Linked DNA regions of Notamacropus eugenii. The protein of the gene in region 1 interacts with the protein of each later gene in a biochemical or structural test. Links are inferred from orthologs where the notes say so. Each region holds a gene or a part of one and is shown in the gene's direction. Other genes may lie near its edges. The genes, in order: DDX39A and SARNP.

What was found.
Region 2: the proteins of DDX39A (region 1) and SARNP form a complex in vitro, tested with the Homo sapiens proteins (2 studies listed by BioGRID). The link is inferred for Notamacropus eugenii from reciprocal best matches to the Homo sapiens genes DDX39A and SARNP.

Annotation. Positions count from the first base shown.
Region 1 is NC_092875.1:76,520,077-76,533,182, forward strand, and holds the start of DDX39A (ATP-dependent RNA helicase DDX39A), read left to right. Parts: upstream 1-7,267; 5' UTR 7,268-7,455; intron 7,456-8,297; exon of another isoform or gene 8,298-8,389; intron 8,390-9,888; 5' UTR 9,889-9,894; coding exon 9,895-10,102; intron 10,103-10,788; coding exon 10,789-10,916; intron 10,917-13,106. UniProt on the Homo sapiens protein: Helicase that plays an essential role in mRNA export and is involved in multiple steps in RNA metabolism including alternative splicing. Regulates nuclear mRNA export to the cytoplasm through association with ECD.
Region 2 is NC_092874.1:231,062,874-231,075,080, reverse strand, and holds the start of SARNP (SAP domain-containing ribonucleoprotein), read left to right. Parts: upstream 1-5,757; 5' UTR 5,758-5,766; coding exon 5,767-5,925; intron 5,926-8,402; exon of another isoform or gene 8,403-8,449; coding exon of another isoform or gene 8,450-8,476; intron 8,477-12,207. Other genes in the region: ORMDL2 (ORM1-like protein 2), read right to left, coding at 3,542-3,677, 4,296-4,447, 4,567-4,741, 5,485-5,618. UniProt on the Homo sapiens protein: Binds both single-stranded and double-stranded DNA with higher affinity for the single-stranded form. Specifically binds to scaffold/matrix attachment region DNA. Also binds single-stranded RNA. Enhances RNA unwinding activity of DDX39A.

The DNA of each region.
Region 1 (13,106 bases):
TCTTGGAATACACACTACCAAGTATTTTATAGCCTCTATAGGTGTTATGAATGGAATTTCTCTTTATACATTTTATTGTCCAATTTTGTTTGTAATGTGTAAGAATGCTGATGATTTGTGTGGATTTGTCTTATGTCCTGCAACTTTGCTGAAGTTATTATTTCAGTTAATTTTTAGCTAGCGTCTAAGTACATCATCCTATCATCTGCAAAAACTGATAATTTTATCTTCTCTTTGTTTCTCTTTCTTGTCTTAAATTTATAGCTAGCAGTATGCTAAATATTACTGATGATGATGCATATCTTTGCTTTACCCTTCATTTTATTAGAAAGTCCTCTAAATTTTCTCCAGTATATATAATGCTTGCTCTATCTCAGGGTATGAGCAGGCAGTATTCAAGGGAAGAAATCCAAGCCACCTATAGCCATATGAAAAAAAATGCTTGAAATCACTACTAATTAGAGAAATAAAAATTAAAACAATTCTGAGATCTCATCTCATACCCATTAGAGTGGCAAAAATGACAAAAAACAGAAATGATGAATGTTGGAGGGGCACATTGTAGGTAGAGTAGAAAATTGGTACAATCATTCTGGAAAGTAATTTAGAATCATACTGAAAAAATTACTAAATGGTACATGACTCAGCTGTACCATACCCAGACCAAATGAAATCAAAGAAAGAGGAAAAGGTCCCATGCATATGGAAATATTTATAGCAGCTCTTTTTGTGGTGGCAAAAAAGTGGGAAATTAAGGGGATACCTATCAATAGAGAAATAGTAAATAAGTTGTGATATCTGAATGTGGTGGAATATAATTATTCTATAAGGAATGAGGAAATAGAGGATTTAAAAAAAACATGGAAAGATGTACATGAACTGTTGCAGAGTGAGATAAGCAGAACCAAATGAACACTTAATATTATAATTAATATTATACAATATTATATAATTAATATTATTGAATATATTATTGAATATAATTAATATTATGAAAATGAACAATTGTAAAAACTTATAAACTGATGAAATGAGCAGAATGAGGACAATTTGAATAAGAACAATTTCTATAAAAACAAATCATTTTGTAAGTTATTAGAACTCTGATCAACACAATGACCATTCATAATTTCAGAGGATAATAGTGACACATGACATCCATGTCAGAAAGGTGATGTATTTAAGGTACAAAAAGACCATATACATTTGTTACAATGAATTTTTTTTTGCCAGTGCGATAGGAGGTGGGAGGGAAAGAAAACATATTTCTGTTGATTTTTAAAGACAGGGTGGGGGAATAATAGATATGTGGAATCTTGGGTGTACTTTCAGATGAGAACACTGTATTATTTGTTTTTCTTTGTAACAAGAGAGTTCTCATAGAGTAGGGAGTATTACTCTATAAAATGTTTGTAATGTAAAAAGAAAACAATAAAGCTTTTTAAAATACTATTTATTATATTACGGAAAGGTTCATTTATTCCTGTGATCTCTAGAGGTGTTTTTTTTACTGTTTAGGAACTCTCTCTAGAACTCTAGGAACTCTCTAGAGGGTTGCTGTAGCAGTTCTAGATATTTCTACTGTCCATAAATGTGTATGGGGAGAGCTCAGATGGATCCATCTGAGCTCTCAATCTGGTGAAAGTAGCAACAATTTCTGAGGAGTAGTGAAAAGTGTACAGGTTACATTATATCTCTTTTGTTGAGAAAGTCCCAGTGAGTCTAAATCCAAGGGTGGTAGCCAGAGGTAGGAAAAAAACTCTGGTGTGGGACGTGAGAGATCTGGGCTCTAGTTGGTCTGTCTGTTATTAACTAGTCACCAATTCCAGAGTCACACAGTACTACAGACTGAAGGTAACTTAGAGATCAGCCAGTCCAACTGCCTCATTTCTCAGATGAAGGACTAAGGAGGAAGAAAGAAGAAACTTACCCAAGGGTATACAAAACACAGAAATGGCAGATCTGGAATTTGAACCCAGATTTCCACAGTTACATTGTGGGAAGTGGGACTCAAACTGAAGTCTTCTCACTCCAAGTTCAGTTATTCTTCAACTAGATCATGTTTCTCTCTTTACTGGGCCTGTTTCCTTACCTATAAAATTATTTTAGGATAGGATAGGATTAGGATAGGATAGGATAGGGGAATTCCTTCTCTTCTTTCTTGGCCCAGTTCAAGTCCTTTCCACTTCCATGAAACTTTTCTGATTACTTTGACTGAAAGCAACTTCTCTATACTCACATTTTCCTCATGAATTTTGGATCATTCGAGCAGGCTGATTTCAGAAAAGCCTGGAAAGGCTTACACGAACTGAAATAAAATGAAGGGAGCAAAACCTGGAGAAAACTGTACACAGTAATAGCAACATTGCGTGATGACCAACTTTGATAGACTTAGCTCTCCTTAGCAATACAATTTCCAAGGGTTCATGATGGAAAATGCTATCTGCATCCAGAGAAAGAACTGATGGGAATCTGGGTGCAGATCAAAGCATATTATTTTTCATTTTTTTTGTTTTGTGTGTGTTTTTGTTCTTTTGGTTTGTTTCTTTCACAGCACGACTAATATGGAAATGTTTGATATGACTGCCCATATACAACCTATATCAAATTGCTTACCCTCTTAGGTGGGGGGGAGTAGGGAAGAAGGGAGGGAGAAAATTTGGAACTCAAAATTTTATTTAAAAAATGAATGTAATGATTATAGATATCTATGTATATGTATGTCTATATATGTTTGTATGTATATGTGTATATATGAATGTGTGTGTATCTTTGCTTAATTGTAACCTTCTTGGGAAGGAGGAAGGGGAAAAAAGAACAAAACAAAAAGTACATTGCAGAAAACAAAATAAAACTTGCAAGGAAGTAAAGATGGACAGCTCTAAACAAAATGTGTACTATTTATATTATATAGGTTTTATTGAAATGGAAATTAATTGCTTTATATTTTGAATCCTTTCATACATTCTGCTGTGCACGTCAATTTTTTTCTTATTTTGTATTTAAATTTGTTTCTTTTCTTATTTTGTACTTAAGTTTAAAATTGTAAAAATCACCAAAAATAATATTAAAAAATGCAAAAAAATTGTCTTTACATGTAATCGGGATAAAATATTTAACAAAATAAATCAAAAAAAATTTTTAAAAGAACTTTGAATTACTTCTTTGTCCCACACATGTTTAGATTTCCTGTTATACTAATTTGCTAATATACTGTAATCGTATTAGACTGGAATGACACCTAAGACCAAGAACATGCCTTTACTTAGTCTTTGCAGTCCTTATACTGATAACAGTGCCTTGTAGCATACAGAAGTGCTTTTCTGGACAGACCTGTGAGGTTTTCATTGATGTGACTACACCCGGTCTCAAAGGGGTGGGGAACCTGGAGCCTCAAGGCCATATGGGACCCTCTAGGTCCTTGAGTGCAGCCTTTTGACTGAATCCAAATTTCACAGAACAAATCCCCTTAATAAAAGAATTTGTTCTGTAAAACTTGGACTCAGTCAAAAGGTCACAACTCAAGGATCTAGAAGGCCACATGGGGTTTCAAGGTCAAAGGCTCTCTACCCCAGAAAGGAATACCTGGTCAATACAGATAAGCAACAATCTATAACTTACAATCTGAGAGAGCTGTCCAGGGCCCTATAAGTCAGACAACTAGTATGTGTAAGAGGCAGAATTCAAACCTAGCTCTTCTTTAAAGAACCGAACTGGGAGTTAGGAAGGTCTGAGTTCAAATCCTGCCCAAGACATTTACTAGATGGAAGACCTTGAGCAAGTCACTTAATATCTTCAGGCTCAAGTTTTCCTTATTTGTAAGATGAGGATAATGATAGTACTTACTTCATAGAGTCACCATGAAGATCAAATGAAATTTTTTATATTATATGTATACATGTACATACATACATACACGTACACACATACATACACACATATATATGTATATTAAGGGCTTTACAAGCCTTAAAGTGCTATATAAACACTAACTAACTATTCTTGACTCCAAGGCTGGTGGCTCTCCATCTACTGGACAAGGCTGGCTCTCTTAAAAAAAAAAACCCAACATAGGAATAAAGACTAGACCTGTGATTTCATTGGTTTAGGGAACTCCCAGGTAAGGAAACTCTTCCTAACCAATTTAGGTCAGTACCTTCTCTGAGACTTATCATCACAGAGAGTTACCTGGAGCCTTGACAAATTTAAAAGACTCACTCAAAGTCATTCAACCAGTTTAGGTCACAGCCAGGACTTTCTGATTTCAAGGTCAGCTCTCTATTACCACTATTACCACTACTACTACTACTACTACTACTATTATTACTACTAGCTAATACTTATATGGTGCTTACTATGTACCAAGCACTGTGTTAAGTACTTTATAATTATCATAATCACCTTGGGAGGTAAGGGCCATTATTATCCCCATTTTAAAGTTGTGTAAAACTGAAACAAATGGAAGTTAAGTGACTTGACCAGGGTCTAAGGTCAGATTTGAACTCAGATTTGAGCTGACTCTAAGCCCAGCACTCTTCCCACTATACCATGATGACTCTCTAATAAGTACAGGTAGTATTTAATCTTTGCTTTTTCAGTAGGATTGAGTTAAATGTCAATGTGACACAGCCTTAGCCAGATCTGAAGTCAGAGGAGCTCGGCTACCACATACCAGTTCTGTCACCATAGGTGACATTTTTCCAGTAAGACAAGTTCCCAAAGAGCAGTGATGCTTTTTCTCAAACACAGACCTTTCTTTGCCATAGCTGGTGTTCAGTAAACAACAGAGTATCAGAGTTGGAAAGGACCTTAGCAATCACCTAACCCAACCTATCTCTGAGCAAGAATCCTTTCATAATGTCCCTGAGGCATATAGGTGATGCAGTGGCTAGAGCATTAGGTCTGGCTGTGTGATCCTGGGAAAGTCACTTAACTTTTGTCTGCCTCAGTTTCTTCAAATAGTGATAATAACAGCACCTGACCAGCAGGGTTGTTGTAAGGATCAAATGATGTAATATTTTTAGCACAGTGTCTGGAAGGAACATAGTAGGTGCTATAGAAATGCTTATCCCCTTCCTCCTCTCATTTCTAGCAGGGACATAATTGTGATATAAATACAAAATATGCTAATCCTTCCACATTTTTCTTGATTTGCTGTAGCTGAAAGAATTCTTTTCCACTGGCAAACCTTTGGTTATAAGTGTGAATATACAGCAGGCATCTAATACATAATGTATTGAGTGAGTTCCTTTGAAGCGGGGACTGATGAAGGAGTGAATGGAGTCTTTTGGTTGATCATGTTATATCCCTCCCACCCCCATTAAACTCTAGTACCTACAGTGAATATAAATTCCTATATTTCACTTTTCAAGAGCCTCACACCTTGGCCTCTTTTTGCCTTTCCAGCCATTTTACACATTATTCCCTGCTATGCATTTTGCCATCTAGTTGACCTGACCTATTTGCTATTCCATAGATAGGATGATCCATCTCCTGGCTACCCCTTACACCTAGAATGAACCAGAGTAAGCTGCTTGCGGCATTGTCCTTAGACTCAGAAACTTAGGGAGAGCTCATTGTAATTGTCCCCCTTTTCCAGAGCTCCAAGTCAGTGTATAAGCATTTATTAAGTGTTTATGAAGCACAAGGCATACAAAGAAAGGTTAAAAACTCAATCCTTGCCCTCATGCAGTTCTTGTTCCAGTGGAGAAGACAACATACAAGTAATGATGTAAATACAAGATATCTGTTGTGCTGTTCAGTCACATCTGATTCTTTGTTACTCCATGGACCATAGCACCCCTGAAGTCTACCTCCTGAAGTCTGTCCAAACTCAAGTTCATTACCTCCATGACACCATCTATTGCATCCTCTGCCATCCCCCTTTTACCCAATGGGTCGATGTTTGATCTTTTCATGTTCTGTGTGACCACATCTGGCTTACTTTAGTTCATAGATCTTACATTCCAGGTTTCTATGTAATAATGATTTTTATAGCACTGGACTTCCCTCTCGTCATCAGACACATCTGCAACTGAGCTTCCTTTTGGCTTTGGCCCAATGGCTTCATTAGTTACTGCATCTACTTGTAGTTGTCCTGGGCTCTCTCAGTAACTGTTGGCTGCCCACCGGAAGGGCTCATCTTCCCGTGTGATATCCTTTATCCTTTTTAATATAGTCTATGGAGTTAATGGCGTGGCTTGCCATTTCCTTCTCCAGTGAGAATTGGAGAACTGAGCTTTGGTCAGAACTCTTCACTATGACCAGTCCGTCTTGGGTAACCCTGCATGGCATAGCTCAGTTTCCCTGACCTTCCAAAGTCACCTACCACAATACAGCAGTGATCTAGGAGAGGAATACCAGATATAGCCATAATAGATGACAGGGAATGAACTCAAAGGGAGGGGTGAAATACTGTGAAATATCCCTTGGATGTGGTGGGATTTCAGAAAGAAACCAGAGGGATTGCATTTCAGGTATAAGAGAAAGACAGTGAGAAGGCATGGATTTGGAAAAGGAACGGGGTAGCGAGAGAGCTTCATTTCAAGTGTTGTCGGATCGTAGAGCACCTGGACCAGGTAGAAAGAACCTGGCTTAGCGCCTAAATAGCAGGAATAATTAGGTAAAATAAGCTAACATCCTAGGGAGCTCTTCCTGGACTCCCTGGACACCCTCTCTGGCCTCGCCTGGCTTTTCCAGAATCTCTGACCCGTCTACAGAGTCTCTTAGGTCCTTCTCCCCGACCCCTCCTGCATTTTCCCCCGCCTTAGGTGCTGAGGACTCCTCTCCCCCACCTCAATAGCCGAATTTATTTTCAAAATTTGACCGGGGAGCACCTGGGCGTGTTTTGTGGGGCTTGACCTCGGTGCCAGAATTGTTAGTTACAATTGGTAGTTATGGATAGGCTGGGATTGGAACCTGGGGAGCCTGACTTCCCTATCACACCCTAAGAAGCACTGGAAGACAGTAGAGCTCCACAGGAGGGCGATCCACAGGAGTTCCGGCCTTTTACCCACAATGCACAACGCTCTAGGCTGGCTTCACTAGATGATCTTGCCATTAGTAAGTATGGTAGCACCTAGGTATTCGCCAGGCCTGGTCATATGGTCCCATCTCGAGACGGCCCCTTGGAATTAATTAAACCACTCAGAAGGACTTTCGCCGGGATCGACGCAGACTTTGCCCAATGAAACATTGGGACCGTCCCCTCTCCCTCTATAGGTTGCGCGGCCGAGACCAATCAACCAATCAGAGCTTGCTCCCTTCTGAGTGAAAGGCTGACAGCCCAGTGAACAAGGCAAGTTAGCCGGGAAGTTTGGAGGTGGTGCGCCAATTTTAGCAGGAAGAGAAGGAAGTAGGGGAGGCGGTTTCCACTCGAACGCGACACCTCTCCTGAGTTAACTCTTGGCTTTGGGAGCGCGTGTAGGCAGCCGGAGGCAAGCGCTCAGCTCAGAGGTAAGGGGCGGAGGAGGGGGCCGCAGGCCGCGAGGTCCTGGGCGCGCTGGAGATGACGGGCCGGGAAAGGCCTGCGGAGTTGACGCTGAAGCGGCAGGCACGCGGCGAGGCTGAGATGGCGCAGGCCCCGGGGAGGACAGGGAAGCTCATCGCGCGCTGCCGCGGGCCGGGCAAGGGCGGGGGCGGAGCCGCGGCCGGGGCAGGTGGCGCGCGCATGCCACCTCCGGGCCGCCCGACCGTTGGGGCGCCGGGCTGCGGAAGGCGCGCGGCCCGCGTGGGGCGGGAGGCCTGGGGAGCCCGGCGGCGGGGACGCCCTTCGCTCATGAAATACGTGGGAGACTGCCCCCGCAGCTGTGGTCTGCACCCCGAGATCCAAGCCGGGGGGCCCCAGAGCATTTGTCTGAGGGTCATCGGGAGCCCGCCGCCCACGCCTGTCCACGCAGGGGACACCCGTGTGCCCTGGAGGGAGTCTCCCGTATTTGTACTTTACGAGAATGTCCCCGAGAGGGAACCCCTCAAATTTGTGCTTTGGTGGGGATCCCCCTCCTGCACAAGCTTTGGCGGAGCCTCCCGGGACGTGTCTGTCCTCTGACTGCGCCCTCGCTCCCACGGTCCCCACTCCTCTCTCTCCCTAATTAGTTTAGGCATACAGGATTTCCTGAATGTGGGTGCCCTCACCACTGCCACAGGCACCCCACTTCTCACAGAAGGCGTAGTCAGTTCCGACTGAAAAAATCCGCCCCTCCAGGACCACCCTGGCCCATAAATCCGCTCTTTGGACTTAGGCGGTTGCCAGCGTCCGAGACTCTCCTAAGTATTTTCTCCATAACTTGTCAGATTTTTCGCCCCGCTGGCCTAGGTTTGGAGTCTTTTGCTTCCACGCTGCTACAGGAAATATTTTGGTGGGTGACAGTTTAAAGGAAATCTTTTCAAGGTAGTGACAAGTTCACTGAAAAGGATGGATTTTAACAGTCTTTTCTGGAGTAGACTCAGTCTAGTAAACTTGTACAGAGGCTTTTGTAAATGAACATGAAAAAATATTTTTTAGCGTATTCTTAGGAATTCAGAAGGGATGGAGAGAGGGAAAGAATGTGGAACTAGAAATTAAAAGTTAAGAAAAACTCGGTGTGTCCATGAATTCCATGGCCTTTATGGGACAGCTACACAGGTTAATACAGGTTGGAAAGAGAGTGGAAAGGCCTGTGTGCTTACTGACTTTTCTAAATTTTTCCTGTTTTTGTTTAAAGTTATAATTGCTAGCTTAAATTACATATTCATTAGGTGCTCATAAATTATTAATTCTTTACCTGAGCACCTGGTTCCAGGTGTGAGCTTCTTAAGGGTGAGAGCCAGCAATCTGTAGCTAGTATTCTGAGGCACACAAACTTTTAAATAACTTGAGACTGAATATCAGGAGAGAGAAGACGTGATATCATAAATGTTCTTGGTGACAGGAAGAACATTTTTAAGCTTTATTTTGGGGGTCCCAAAGATGGTTAACATGTAGATGGTTAACAGTAGATTTTTTTGGTATTGGATGGGAAAGCATTGCTAAAAGTTTTGTTGGATGTTTTAATCAAGCAAAAAGACGGTGTTTTGGAGTCCAAGGAAAGAAGGCACCTGATTCATCCTGTCTTTGTCTTCCTCTATGTTTGTGGATTTGAAGTTCCCAAGTTCTGTGGCAGAGAATATTTGGCTTAAATTTTCTTTTAACTACAAGGTTTTGTCATAAATACATTTTAACGCATGGATTAAAATAAGTACTGCCTTTTAATCGGATTCTTCTTTTCAGGCTATATTAACCTAATTAAGAAGCTTAGGTGATAGAAGTAGGTATTATGATCTGTATGCTGGTATAGATCTACATCTTGGCAGGAGGCTTTTTAATAAAAGCATTCTAACTAAGGGTGGTGTAGTATGAGCCCCAAATAGAGGGAGAAAGAGCAGTTTTAAGTTGGGGCTCTATAGCAGCAATCTGCCCATCCCTAGTAGTGAACTTTATTTTTTACCTTATGCCTCTAGAATGTGTGGTCTTGTCTTAACTGGCTTGTGAGTTTTCCACTGCTGAGTCTCCCTGGTACTTATTCCACTCCGTGCCTACTGCAGATGGGTATTGAACACAAGTATTCAAATATGTTGGTTGTCTGATAAGATAGTTTGCTAGGCAGAAATGGCCATGAGGAGGGCAAGATTCATGGTGCTTGCTGGCTTCCAGCTTTGATTTGAGGAGTTAGAATCTCTAGTACAGACAGTGCAAAAGGACTTTTGGACTCTTGATGTGTCCAGGGATTGAGGGGGATCTGTGTTTTTGTCTTTTTGTACTTAGCACTTGGTTGACCCCTGTCCTCTCTCTGTCAGTGGCCTGGAAAAGCAGGTACTGCCCTTCTTCCTGCCATCTGTGATGAACCAGCTACATCTTTCTTTTCTCCTCAGGGCAGAATGGCTGAACAAGATGTGGAGAATGAACTGCTTGATTATGAAGAGGATGAGGAGCCCCAGCCCATGACAGAGAGCACACCTACGCCTGCCAAGAAGGATGTGAAGGGCTCCTATGTCTCCATTCATAGCTCGGGCTTCAGGGATTTCCTTCTGAAGCCAGAGCTTCTGAGGGCTATTGTGGACTGTGGCTTTGAGCATCCATCTGAAGGTAGGCCTCTCCCCCTTCCATTTTCGCAGTTCCAGCTATTCACAGAAATAGGTAGTATTTCTGGTGAATAATAATGGCTAACATTTATATAGCACTATGAAGTTTGCAAAGTGCTTTACATGTAGTACCTGATTTGATCAGGTTTGCTCATCTAGAACAGCAGTTATTCAGTTTGCTCTCTAGGATGAAGACATCAAAAGCTATTAAATTAGAAATCACACACACACACACACACACACACACACACATACACATACACACATACACACACACTACATAACTGGTGATGACTGCTTAGGCATCTAATCAGATTTTCTGTGGTCTTCCTTTAGCCCTTCACTTGTCAGGGAGCTGAAGGGCTCTATTTAAGTCCTTTTTGATCAGATGCTTTCCTGATTTCTAAAGTCTTGTTTTCCTACTTCACAGTAATTACTTTTTTTCCACTTAACACTTTGCTTCCATTATCCCATTTGATTCTCACACTAAGCTGGTGAGGTAGGCAGGCTAGGCATGATATTTATACCTGTAAAGGGAAAATGTAGCCTAGATTGTTTAAATGATTTGCCTAAAGTGATACGGTGAGCCTGTTCCAGAGCTGGGATTCTAGAAGTCTGATCTCCTGATTCCAAGCCTGATAATCTTCACAGCATATTCCCCTACTTAGAAGAATACTGTTTCTTTCTCAGTCCAGCATGAATGTATTCCACAAGCCATCTTGGGAATGGATGTGCTATGCCAAGCCAAGTCTGGAATGGGCAAGACAGCGGTCTTTGTGTTGGCTACCCTGCAACAGATTGAGCCTGTGGATGGACAGGTACTGGGCTGGGGAGGGTCTTTCTGTCTGTCTTCTACAGTAAGTAAGAACCCTCTGAAGATATGAAGAGAACTTCTCTTTCACCTCCATGATCTTCCTTGGAGACAAGAAGTGGGTGAACCCTTTAAAGATGTACTTCCAAGTGCTTATGGAATTGGTTTTAATTCAGCAGATGTCTGTCGAGGCTTTGTTCTCAGTCTTGTTAGGCCCTGCTAAGGAGAGAGGGTAAGTTGTAGCCATTACTCTCAGGGACTTGGTCACAGTATTCCACTTTTTTATATACCCCTTATATACTTAGATGGATTGGTATAAATACATATTTCATCAGTGAAAATTGCAAACTTCTCTGTAATTCTTGATGTTGCAGTTTCACGTTGTGTTATGGCAGCACCATCTCAAAAAATTCAGGGTCAGACCACCTCTAATCCTGGAATAGGCATTTATTGAGATTGATACCTCTCATGAAGTGGGCTAAATTCCAAGAGGAACCAGCAACTTCAGAGAAAGCAAGATCGATTTTTATAGGGTAAAGATACAATTAAATAACAAAAATTATAGATATTAAAAAAGCAGGAGGGATTTGTTAAGGGATTAGGTAATAGGGAAGGGGTCCCAGCCATAATGGAACTGTGCATGTGATTACCCACAATGCATACAGAAAAAAGCCATTTGAGGGGGTATGTATGTATAATAATGATATTATCATGAGCCTCTCTATATCATAAGTTCACAGCTATTGCTATTATTGCGCAGGTCCCTGCTTAGGGAAAGTCCCTTCTGTTGTTTTGGAGTCCACATCCTGCTTGGGCATCCTGGTGGTGCTGCTTTCTGATTGACTGACTACTGTGGTCCTGTCTCAGACTAGATGGATGAGGTTGTGATTGAGCGCATAGACACACCTACTATTTCTGTGGGAAATATGAGTTCTTGGACATACCTTTTGTTCCAGTGAACAGTGAGGCATATATGAAGAAGTCAGGATATTGAGTGGTGGAGTGGCCAGGTAGGGGCAGTGGGCCTGCTGTTTAGTGGGCTCTATAAGGAAGTTAGAATATTGGGTCTGGGCAGCTTTATTAGGATTCCTTTACTGACAGTGTTTATCTATGAGCCATACTTCCGCAGAGGGCCCTGCCAGTGTGCTGGAGATGCTCCTCTACTTTTTAAATTTTGTTAGTCCCAGGGTAGCACTTGGACTGTCTGCCATGGGACAGGCACATCTCCTTTTCTGCTTGTAAACTTCTTTAATGATCTCTTTTGTGCCACATTTTGGGAATGGGCAGCCTTCTTGTGCTCATGGCACCACTGACTTTTGGGTCATCTGCAACTCTGAGCTGGTTAGGTGTGAAATAGGAAGCTGTTGGGGTCCATCTCATAAGAGGTCTTCATCCAAAAGATTGGATGATCACTTGCTGTGTGTGCTGTAAAGGTGGTTCCTGTTCAGTGGCCTCAGCTGTCCTGCATGTCCACAATTGTTCGCTCTTATCTCTGCTTCTTAGAGGCTTCCTAATTTCCTTCACAACTGTGCTATTCCTGAGCTCAGGGGGCCCCCATCCCCAAACCCATGGATTCAGTCTATCTAGATTTATATACAGGTTGTTTCTCCTGTTAGAGGGCAGGGGCTCTTTTCCTTTGGTGTTTGTATTCTGTGGGCTTCTGAATGGTCTTAATAAACTCTTGTTTGGTTGATTATCTCTGAGATCTCTTCCTGTGATCCAGCCAGCCAGACTGGATGAGCTTCTCTCAGAGCATGGCTTCCACCTGCTGCCTCTAGGCCCTTGTGCAAACCTTCTCCCATGTGTAGAATACAGTTCTCATATCTCAGAAAGTGTTTTTCCTTCAAGGTTCAACCAAGATGTCCACTTTCTTTCCTAATCTTTTAGATGATTGTATCTACATATTTTTGGGCATGTGTATACCTTAGTAAAACATCAGCTCCATGAGAATTGGCACTCTTGTTTGTTGATCTCTGTAGCCTCATTGCCAGTCCTTAGGAACTTAACTATGATTTGTTGACTTAACTAGGTCCCTCTCTTTTGTGGCTTATTTGATCAGAGTACTTAGAGGGTCTTTGAGTTTTCTCTGTAATTCTATATAGCCTTATTCCAAATGTTGGGCAGCACATTTCCTCTGAATAGATTCTGTTTTGACATATGTTTATATCTATACCTTCTTGCTTTCAGTGAGTTTATA
Region 2 (12,207 bases), on another chromosome or scaffold:
CTCAGGATAGGTTAGAATGTCGGTAACAGACACCATACACAAGAATAAAGTCTAAATGCATACATGATCTAGGTATAAAGATTGATACTATAAACAAATTAGGGGAGGAAGGAATAGTATATTTGTCAGATTTGTGGAGAATGGAGAAATTTATGATCAAACAAGAGATAGAGAACATTATGAAGTGCAAAATGGGTAATTTTTATTACATTAAATTGGAAAGTTTTGCACAAACAAACCCAATGCAACCAAGATTAGGAGGGAAGCAGAAAACTGGGAAAGAATTTTTGCAACTAGTGTCTGTGATAAATGCCTCATTTGTAAAATACAGAGAACTGAATCAAATGCACTATACAAGTCATTCCCCAGTTGATAAATGGTCAAAGGATATGAACAGGCAGTTTTCAGAGGAAGAAATTGAAGCTATCTATAGTTATATGAAAAAACGCTCTAAATCACTATTGATTAGAGAGATATAAATCAAAACAATTCTGAGGTACCACATCACACCTGTCAGATTGGCTAACATGACAAAACAGGAAGATGATAAATGTTGGAGAAGATGTGGGAGAGTTGAAATACTAATTCATTGTTGGTGGGGCTGTGAGCTGATCCACCCAACCTGGAGAGCAGTTTGGAACTATGCCCAAAGGGCCACAAAAATCTGCATACCCTTTGATCCAGCAATATCACTTTTAGGACTGTATCCCCAAGAGATCATAGAAATGGGAAAGGGTCCTACATGTACAAAAATATTTATAGCAACTCTCCGTGTAGTGGCCAAAAACTGAAAATCAAGGGGATGCCCATCAATTGGGGAATGGCTGAACAAGTTGTGGTACATGAATGTAATGGAATACTATTACTATAAGAAATAATGAACAGGACTTCAGAGAGGCCTGGAAGGACTTATATGAACTGATGCTGAATGAAAGGAGCAGAACCAGGAGAACTTTGTACACAGTAACAACCACAGTGTGTAAGGAATTTTTCTGGTAGACTTAGCCCTTTACAGCAATGCAAGGACCTAAAATATTCCGAATGGACTCTTGAGGCAAAACGCTTTCCACATCCAGAGAAAGAACTGTGGAATTGGATTGCAGAATGAAGCAGAATATTTTCTCTTGTGTTATGTTTTGTTTTTTTCTCATGGTTTCTCCCATTCATTTTAATTTTTCTCTGCAACATGACTAAGGTGAGAATGTGTTTAATAAGAATGTATGTGTAGAACCCATATAAGATTGCATGCCATCTTAGGGAGGAATGGGGAAGGGAGAGTGAGAAAATCTAAGACTTATGGAAGTGATTGTAGAAAACTGAAAACAAATTAATAAATAGAAAAAAAGAATGGGTAACAGAAGGGCCAGAATGTTTAGTTGTCTGTGATGCTGGATAATGTGGAAGCTATATAGTCTTAGGAGGGCCACTAGGGGGTGCAGTGGATTGAGTGTCAGGCCTGGATTTAGGAAGACTCATCTTTGTGAGTTCAAATCTAGCCTCAGACACTAGCTGTGTGACTCTGCTCAAGTCACTTAACCCTGTTTGCCTATTTTTTCATCTGGAAAATGAGCTGGAAAAGGAAATGGCAAACCACTCCAGTATTTCTGTCAAGAAAACTCCAAATGGGGTCAAGAAGAGTCAGACACACCTGAAACAACTGAACAAGTCTTAGGAAGGGCCTGGACATATAGTTACATAGAATGGAGTTTGGATATTCACTTGGGTTGAGTTGTACTGTTTTATCTGCCTCCCTCTTGTTTGCAGAATGGGCTGGGTGCCAGCGTGTGGGGATTTCCCCTGATACCCACAGAGTCCCCTATCACATCTCATTTGGGTCCCGGTTTCCTGGTCCTGGTGGGCGGCAGAGGTAGGTAGTGTTTTTTTCCCTGCCTGTTGTTTCAGAGAACTGGTTATACAGAACAGTTTAGTATCCCAGTGTATCCTGGCCAATGACTTGGTACTTTTACTTAATAAGTAAAACATCTGTGTATCTTTAGGAATGTTCATCTCCTCATCACAATATTTGTTTTACTGCAGAGTCACTCCAGATGCCCCCCCAGCTTCAGTTGCTGACCTTCAGGATTTCTTCAGCCGGATCTTTCAGGTTCCCCCAGGCCAGATGCCCAATGGAAATTTCTTTGCAGCTTCTCAGCCTGGCCCTGGGGCCACCCCACCCTCCAGGCCAGACAGTTCCACCACATCCAAAGGTTCAGAAGCCAAACCGAAGCGGCGGAAAAAAGTGAGGAGGCCCTTCCAGCGCTGATGCCCTGTCTCTTCCTCTTCTCTACCCTCCTCAGCTCAGTGTCAGGGAATCATAAGGGCTGTGTACAGCATAGGATGGAACTTGTTTTGTTTTTTAAAAAATTTTCAATATTCAAAAAGTTTCAAGCATTACCTGTTCACTCAGTGACTTGTGGGAAGCCACTGAATCCCCACTCTGGGAACTAAGAACTGAATCTTGTTTGATGACAATACCAAAGAAATAGTGGGGTGGTTGGCAGGAAGGGCCCTGTGCCTAGACCATGGCTAGGATTGGGACTGATGAGTATTTTGTGTGGGACAGAGCTCTCTAGGGTTTGGGGGGGGGCTCTTATATTGTCCCTCCTTCCGAAGGCCAGGGTGGTACTCATTCTGTTGTTAACTTGGACCTTTGTTTCTGGGCCTTCTCCTCTATCATCCATGTGAGGAGGCAAGTGGCCCTTATATTCAGGGGTGGGTAAAAGCCCAGGACCATTCAGGGAATGGAAATGCTGCCTCTTTCTGTTCTATGGTTCCTACCTAACCTCAGGGTTGTTTCTGCAAGGATGGCTGATTTGACAATTTTTTTTTAAAGCAGACTCAAGTCCCCACGCCCTTGGTGGGTAGGAGGCAAAAAAGCAAGTTTGGTGATGGTGGTGGTGGGGTTGTCCCCAGCTATCCCTATGTAATCAAAAGGTTTTTTTTTAAGTTTGTTCATATTTGTATGTACATATCTATTTAAAGCCAGGGGATTTACCTTTCTATAAATATAACTGGCAAGCTATGCCTACCTCTTTTGTGTGCCCACTTGCCCTGACCCTATTTTCTACATGATAAGAGTTACTAATCTCTGATGATTGCTCTTGGTTGAGTGGGGACAAGAAACAGTTTCAGGGAGGCATGGGATATGATAATAATCAGAAAGAGGTTTATTTTCAATTTAAGATTGGGAAGAATGTAGTCTTTTCGCCCTCCTTCACCTCCCACAAAGTTCTGCTGACTACCCTAGATTTACATCTGAAAAATAGCTTTTATTATATAGCAGTGATGTAGATAGTTGGAAAAGATAAACTATAGCACCAGCCAGGAGAGTGGGCCCAGCCCTTACCCATATTTCTTGATTCTAAGGAACCTGCCCTTACTTGTACAGGGGAGTCATCCTACCCCCAAATTCATCTCCCTGGAGTTGGCAAAAAAAGATCAGTTGATCCTCAGGTCTTCAGCTGCTAAAGGGAAGGAGGATAGAGCAGCTCTTTGTTCCTTGTCCTTCCCTAGCCTGTACCTAAGTGATCATTGCCAGGTGTTAGTACTTATTGATGCCAAAGAGACGGACACCATGGAACTGGGGTAACTTAGGCAGTAGTACACTGAGCAGTGAAGCTGTATTGATGACAAAGTGAGCAGCATCATATTTGGTGTAGAAGCTGGCCAGGAGGTAGCTGGGGAGAGAAAGAAGAACATGATGAAAAAGAGGGACCTTTCCCTGACCTCTTTTTGTTCTTTCTACCATCTTCCCCTAAGTCAGTTTTGTTATTTCCTTAAATGACAGCTCTATCTCACTATTGCCACATGAACAGCATTTCTCTTGAATGGGAAGTAGTTTATAGATTCTATAGATTTATAGACAGTTTATAGCAAAATGTGTTGATCAATGGAAAATGAAAGAAGGGTCAAGCTACAGTACTGCAAATGTCCCCTTGTCTCTGACATTACCCTCTTCCTTTTAAATCAATTATACTTTCATTTGTTGTACACTTGAACAAAGTCTTGCACCACAGAATCTAGGTGAGGATTTCTTTGAAGTTTTCCCAGATGCTCCTATCCCCATTACCACCACAGGGAGGCAGCAAGCCTATTCGTGGCTTTCATACTTTGGATTTCATAATTGGTGAACTGAACACCCTCTATCCTCCTAGCATGGTTAGATCATAGTTTTTCAGTGAGTTTACAGAGATTCTACCCCTTGTGGTGGTACCTTCCACTTAACTGATGTCCCCTTGGGGGGCCTTTGCAACACCTACTCTACCTAGCTTCTCCCTCACCCTCCTGGAACTCACAGCACAATGGGAAAAATACTGAGGAACTTTCTGGAGGAGGTGAACTGGAGCCCATAGTCCATCTGCTCCCAGTGTGTAAGGAGCCGGGCCTTGCCTTGGTCGGGGGTCTCAAAGGGTGTCCCCTTCACAGTGTGCAGAAAGACGTACATGGCCTGGGAGGGGGTGAGAAGGTAGAAGAAATCCTTTTCAGCTATGGATTTGAGGCAGGTGGGCAAATCCCCAAAGAATTCAAGTCTGGATAAGAGAAAATGAATTTAGGCTGGAGGCTCACCAGGTTATGGATGACGTTGGTCAAGGTCCAGACCACTGGGATGCTGAAGAAGGGGATGCTGAGTAGAACCACATGTAGAAGCCCTACTAGGATGATGTAGGCTAGCCAGATGCCTCGGCTGTTCATCACCCTTGTGTTGGGGTTCACCTCGCTGTGGGCCACCCCCACGTTCATCCTGCCACAATAGTGAGTCAGGAGCTGGACTCACCGGGGTTCTCTTTCCTTTGGTCTGCCTCCCTCGGTTACCGGTTTGGTGACTGCAATGAACCTTGAACTTGGGGGGAGGAGGAGGGGAAGGCGCTCCTCTGGTATACTGAGGCCTGAGAGATAAAAAGCTTTCTGGGATGAGGGGAATCTAACTTTAGCCTGAAGGGAACAGCGGGGGAAGGGGCCGTAGTTGGAGGCGAAAAGGGGGCATGGAGCACTTCCTTTCTATAGAGGGGAATTTGGGGCAGTCCTCTCGTCTTCCGGGGGTGGGCAGGAGAATCAGATCAGGTGAGTCCAAGGGGAGGTGCTCAGGAGGTAGACGTGCTCGGGAACGATACCTCTCCCCTCCCATTCTCTGTCCGGGGCTGCCATGGACGACAACCTCGGCGGGGGGAGCTGCCATTGGCCTTTCTGGAAAATGTAGGAAGCTGCGGGAGCACGTTGTGGGCCTTCCGCCGCCCGGGGTGGGGGCAGGCAGAGCAGGCGCTCCGGGAACCGCCCCCCGCCCCCCCCCCGAGGCGCACTACGAAGGGGCGTTCAAATCTCCTTCCTCCAGACGAGCCGGCAGCCCACGGCCGAACCCAGCCGATCCCCGAGTCCCAGTGACCCTTGGGCTGTAGCCCGGGGCCCCATCCCTGCCCCTCAAAGCTCGCCGTCACGGCCTGTCTCCGCTCCTCTCGGAGTCATCCCCTCACTCCCAAATCCCCTCACCTGGAGGCTCCAAGGGCCACTCCGCCAGACGCAAGTTCGGCTACTTTACCTAGTCCACCTGTTGTGTCCTGGAAGCGGCCGTGCCCTCGAACTGTCCCCATTGGCCCTCCACGCCCGGCGCTGCCGTGGCTCATTGGCCACCCGTTTCGATGTTCTGTGTTTCGTTAGTCAGCGGGCCTGTCACTCTGGTGGGAGGGAACCAACCCTTCTCCAATCCCCTTCTCCGGCAGACCGTCGCGTGGGGGAGGACCCATGCTGGCGGCCGACGAATGAAAAAAGCTGATGGTAAAGAGTGGGAGTATAAACAACGGCTATTGGGTGGTGGTGATCCTCGGAGTCTCGGCGGGAGCTCCAGAAGGCGGAGGCAGGAGAGGGGGGCAAACTGGGGGAGGAGGGGGTGACAAGATGGCGGCGGAGACGGTGGAGCTCCACAAGCTGAAGGTACCGTGAGGGGCAGAGGCCCGGGCATGGCTGGGGGCCGAGCTCTACGAGGTGACCGGCGCCTCCCTCCCCTCATTTCTCCCTCCGGGGCTCCCCTCACTGTCGTCCCGGTCCTCTCCCTGTTAGGCTGGTCTCTGGGGCCTTCTTCCTCTCCTCTCGTGCTGCCCCCCCCTCTCGTTCCTTCCCCCTGCCATCTTTTCTCTCCGTTCGGGGTGCCCCTCTCCTTACCGCTTCTCCCTCCCCCCTTTCTGCCGAGAATGTGTGTTTGCCTCTCCCCTTGCGAGGAGGCAGGAGAGGTAGCAGCACGTCATACCCCCCTCGCCTCTGTCCCCTTCCTCTCTGCCCCCGACCCCCTTTCCTTCCCCAGGTCTCCTCTCCATTCCGAGTCTAGGAGTCCCCAGCAAGCTGGGGTAGCGGCACCCACGTGCGTTTGTGTGTCTGTCCAGCTCGCCCGGACGACTCAGGGACGCCCCAGTTCCTTCCTCAGAGGTGTTATGGTACCTGAGTCCAGCCTAGAAGCCTGGGAGAGCCCGGGAATGGGGACCACCGGCATCCCCTCCCCGCACCTCAGGCACTCGATGGCACTGGGGTCACCTCAGAAGAAGAGGGAGGTTTTTTTTTTCTTTTGCAAGATAAGGAAGGGAGCTGGGGAAGCTTTTTGAAAAACAAACTCAGTTTTCCCTATTATCCTCCACCTCCTTTTGTGTCATCCTCTGGGAAATATAGGATGGTTGACAAAGATTTTAGTATTATTTACTTGGGGAGAAGAATTAACCTCCTATAGGTAAAAGAGATATATTGGTTGATTTTAGGTGTTCGTTCAGAATTTGGCAAACAGTCCCCCTGTCAGGTAGTGATTATTCACTTCCTTTTGGGAAACAAGCTAAAAACCGATTTCCTTTATTATATAATACATTAAGTGCTCTATAAGATTTGCAACCTGGCTTGTTGATGCTGACAATCTAAAGCATATCTAATAGGAAAAAATAGTTTATGATTTCTTGGATATACTCTTGAGATAGGCACTACTAAAACATGCTTAGCCCTAGCAGCATGGACTTTTATTTTCTTGGATTCTGCTTGGCTTAACCGATTTTATTCTTATGGTATCATTTGTTGAGAGTGTAAGGTTGAATTATAAGCTTTCCATTTCCATGGCATGTCAGTTTTGCTTTTTTCTTTTCCTGGACTGATGCCGGCCATCAGAGTCTACTGTAAAAGAACATAGAGAAGGAGTAGGAGAGGAGCCTGTCCATATGCCACAGAAATTCTTAACTTTTTTAGTGTCATTGACACCATTAGCAGTCTGGTGAAGCCTGTAATCCTGTTCTTAGAATAATGTATTTAAATGCATAAAATAAAATGCATAAGATGTAACCAATTATTTTGAAGTTCAGTTATTTAAATATTTTTAGAAGTAAGTTCACAGACCCCAGGTTAAGAACCCCTGCTCTAGAAACAACTGAGTCTTCTTTTCCCTCATGAAATGCTATTTCTCACCTCTCACAGCATCTAAAGGAGTTTGGCGTAGTTGTTACTTATATTGAAAGAATCTTCCCTTGTTATTTGCTGTATGGGAGGGCTTCTTAATCATGGGGGATGTTGGCAGATTTCAGAGGGTCCATGAACTTGGATGGGGAAAAATGTTGTTTCACTGAACTTTCACTGGAATTTAGCATTTCCTTCAATTATATAAAAACACTGTGAGGAGTCTATAAGCTTCACCAGACTGCCAGAGGTATCAGTGACAGAAAATAAGGTTAAGAACTCCTGCTTTGGAGCTTAACATTTTAATTTTTCTAGCTTACATGTGAATGTAAAATTTTCTTGAGAAATAAGATGTTTAGTTTGGGTGACATTAGCTTACTTTAATTGAGCTTTTAGAGATAATTAGAAAAGAATGCTCAGAAGTCCACCTTTTACTTAATTTTAATGAAAAAGACAAGGTATGGACTGAAATAACCACACTGGTTAAAAGGATATGCAGATTTGTCATATTTGCTTTCAAATTTTCTTTTTTGTCTGTGAACAGAAGTCCTTAAATAAAGACCTTTGAGGACTGGAGGCCTTCTGTTTCAGTAAAGTGTGCACTAATGAGATTTCCTAGCCCTGGGATCAATTCCTGCCACTGACACCTACTAGCTATGTGACCTTGGCCAAGTCACGTATCCTCCCTGGGCTTCAGTTTTCTTTTCTGTAAAATGAGGGGGCTAGAATACATGCCTTCTCAGGTCCCTTCCAGTTCTAGCACTATAATCTCTTGATTTCTATTCTCTTGAAATGATTATTCATTTTTGACCCTATCTATACTATTGACTTTAAATTTGTGAAAAATGTAAAGAAATGCAACCACCACAAAATACAAACTGGCCAGGGAGAAAGCTAAATGGTAGAGAACAATGTTTGTTAAAATACAGGGATGGGGACTGGATCTGTGATTTCATTGTTATATTGGTTTTCCATTAATTCTAGCAGCTTCTTGGCTTGTCTTTCATAATGTCTTGACTACAGTCACAACTCCTGGATGAGGAAACTCCCTCTACTAATGCAGGTTGGCATCTTCTCTGAAACTTGTAGTCTTAGAGAGTTGCTTAGGGAAGTGAAGTGACTTGCCCAGGATCACACAGCCAGTATGTTTCAGAGGCAGGACTTGACCTCAGGTTTTCCTGGGATAAGCTTGTGTGTCAAGTGCCACACAGACCACTATAGGAATAGTGGTAAAGCCAAACTATATCGTGGGAATTCATTTAAGTAGTGAATACATTGACTGTCCTTTTGCGGATAGTGTGGTATTGTGGCACAGTGGAAAGAGCATTGATTCTAGAGTCAGACTTGGGTTCATATCCTACCTTTGATGCTTCCCACCTGTGTCACTTTAGGCATGAATTATTTAATCTCCTTGGGCTTCAGTTTCCTCCTCTGTAAAATGAGGGTGTTGAACTTAGATGGCTCTGGGGTCCCTTCCAGCTCTGTATCTATGACTTTTAAGTTCTTTATTTGCTCTCTGCCCTTTTTCATAGATCTATATTTTAAGAGCTACTTTTGACAGTCACTTGAGCAACTATGGATTGCTTGTTATGTAGTAACACTATAAATGTTATGGAAGAAAACAAAATTATAAGTCAAGGTAAGGTACCTGTCTTTGAAATATAATATAGTTGATAGAGATAAATATACACATATGAAATTACTTAAACAGAATTTTCATTTTAGGCTGCTATATTTTAAAGAGACATGGACAATAATATTAGCTTATGTGTCTATATAGTACTTCATGGCTTATATCCTCAACAATGTTGTGAGATAGGTAGTGTTAAGTGTTATTATTTCCATTTTATAGATGAAGAAACTGAAGTGCATGTTAATGGACTTGCCTGTGGTTGTACAACTAGTTAATGTCAGATCCAGGATATGAATTCTGTTCCGACTTCAAGTCAAGTGTTCTTTTTCCTTACTCCACACCATCTCTCAAATTAGAGCATGTCTATAGTTAGATTGTCTGGAATGGTGAAAGGTCTGGAATCCGTGTCATGTAAGGATTGCTTAAAGGAACTAAGTATGTTTAATTCAGGGAAGGGAAGACTTGGGTATGTGATAGGTGTTGTCAGTTTTTTTTAATTTTTAAAAGTTTTGTTTCTGTTTTTCTCTATTGTGTTCATACCACAATTTTTTCCTCTTAAGTTCCTCTACCCGCTCCCCCCCCATTGATTTCCTATAACAAAAAAACAAAAACAAGTAAGTACAGCTGTGGTATGTATCGCATTCCACATCAATAGTCTCCATCTTAATATTGAGGGGAGGAAGGTATGTTTCTATATTAGTTCTTTGAGTGAGAGATTGTTCATTACAGTTCATAGTTCAACTACTTTTTACTATTATTTTCCTTTACGTTAATACTCATTGTGCATATGATTTATGTAGTTATGTTTTCTTCACTCTGAATCAGGTCATACAAGTTCTCTTGATTTCTTGATATTTTCATTTCTGTCATTTCTTTCTGCACAATTTTTCATTATGACAATTTTTCATTATGTTCACATATTACCATGTGTCCAGCCATTCCTCAGTCAAGGGAAGCCCTTTTTGTTTGCATTTTATTGCTAATAATAGCTAGCATTTTATTAATGCTTTAAGGTTTGCCAAGTACTTTATCTATTTGATATCTTATTTAAGCCTCACTATGGCCCTGTAGGGTAGGTGCTATTATTATCCCCATTTTACGGATGAGGAAACTGGCTGAGGGAGGCTAAGTCGATTGCCCAGGGTTATACAGCCAGTAAATGCCTGAGGCAGTATTCCAGCTACTAAGTCTGTCTGCTCTACCACCTAGCAGCTTCCCAAAGAGACGCTACAAAGAATGCTGCCATGTTTGTTACATGGAGGTCCTTTGGTCACTGATTGCCTTGGTGGTATTTGTCCAGTAATAATGTAGTATATGAACACTTCGTGTTGATATTTAGGATGGTTAGACTAGTTCACAGTACCACCAACAGTGCACCAGTGTTCTCTGTCTTACCAAAGCTCTTCCATCATTTACTCTTTTTGTAGGTGTGAGGTGAAACCTTTGGAGTTTTAATTTGTATTTTTCTTACTTATTAATTGATTTAGAGCAGTTTTTCATCTGGTGCTTGATAGTTTGCTTTTCCTCTCAATCTTGTTTTTCCACACCCTTTGTTGTGGGTATGTTCATAGCCATTTATCTTTTGAGGAATGGCTCTTCAAATATTAAGTGGGTTGCTATTTTTTTTTGTCACCCTATGCAAGTTTTTTAAACTTTCTGTGTCATTATTTTTGATAATCTGGTGAAATCTGTGGACTCCTCAGACTAATAATTTTTATATGCATAAATTAAAATATGTAGGATTATAAAGGAAAACCAATTAACCAAAATTCACAGACTGGTTCCTCCCTACTTTTACCCTCTTTAGAACCCTTGCTTTGGTTGCCAGATCTAGAACCAGTGAGAAGCTTCATGGAAGCAGGTGTCTGTTCAACATAAGGAAAAATTTCTCAACAATTAAAGCCATTCAGAAATATTTTGTGACTTACCAAGCTCTTTGTCAGTTGAAGTATTTGAGCAGAGAAAGTCTAGATCATCATCTGTCAGACATGTTGTATAGGACATTCCTATCTTGGGGGTAAGGTTGAACTAGTTGACCTCTAAGATTTATCTCAACTCTGAACTAATAATTTTATTAATTCTGAGTACAAACTAAATGTTAACAAGTGCAAGATTATACTATAAATTAGCATACCCAACCATAATGTTGGTAAATATTTTTGAATATATACTACAGTGTAGCATGTAGAAATGCATAGTGTAAAATGCTCCTTTTTCTCAAGGGACCTATAATCTAGTTGGGGAGAGAAGAATTAAAACACATGAAAAGCTTAATAATAAGCAATTTGCTATTATAATAGGATACCACTGATTAATACATCCTTTCCTGTAGATGTGCAGATAATTGCTAAAAGAGGCCAGATAAGGGAGACATCACTTAAGGTTGAGGGAGGGAGTGAGGATTTGTACTTGATCTAGACCAAGGCTTCTTAAACTTTTTCTACTCAGGATCCCTTTAGCACTTCTTAAACCCCACAAAGGGTCAAGACTCATAGGTTCAAGAGATCCACAGTTTAAGAAGTGCTGATTTCAAGATCACTAGATAGGATATATGGGAGAGGATGCTTTATTGAGGTGTCAGCAAAAGTGGAGGTAGAAAATTGTATTAAGGATTGGGATAATCAAATAAGGAAATGATTATTGTAGAAGAGGTAAGTTTTGCAATTCTGGCAGTTTTGTTTGTTGTTTGCTTTTTGAGGGGTCTGAATGTACCTACCTGTTCTTGTGGCTCTGGTCCTAATTTCTTGTCACACATACCATCAGTATTTATGTCTGTTTTATTTCCTATGCATCTATCTTGACTGACTTTTCTGATTCTTGTCAGCCAGAGTGCTAGAGGCTTTTGGAGAAGAGGGTAGGTAATATTACCTCTATGGATTCACTGCAGGGCCTAGTTTTTACCCTGGAATGAAAATTAACATTTACTTGGTTTTTGTGGTACTATGGTGCTTGTGACAGCCATTGTTTAATGTACGTATTTGCAGGTGATTGGACACATGTTTCATAGTGAACGCATAGGCACATACACACACACACTCTCACACTTTCAGAGAAGTCTATAGGATGGGGACAGAAAGTGGTCAGTATGACTTGCTTAGATGAGAATGAATTTTCTCTATCTTCCAAGAGACCAAAGGAATTTAACAAGTTTTCATCATTAG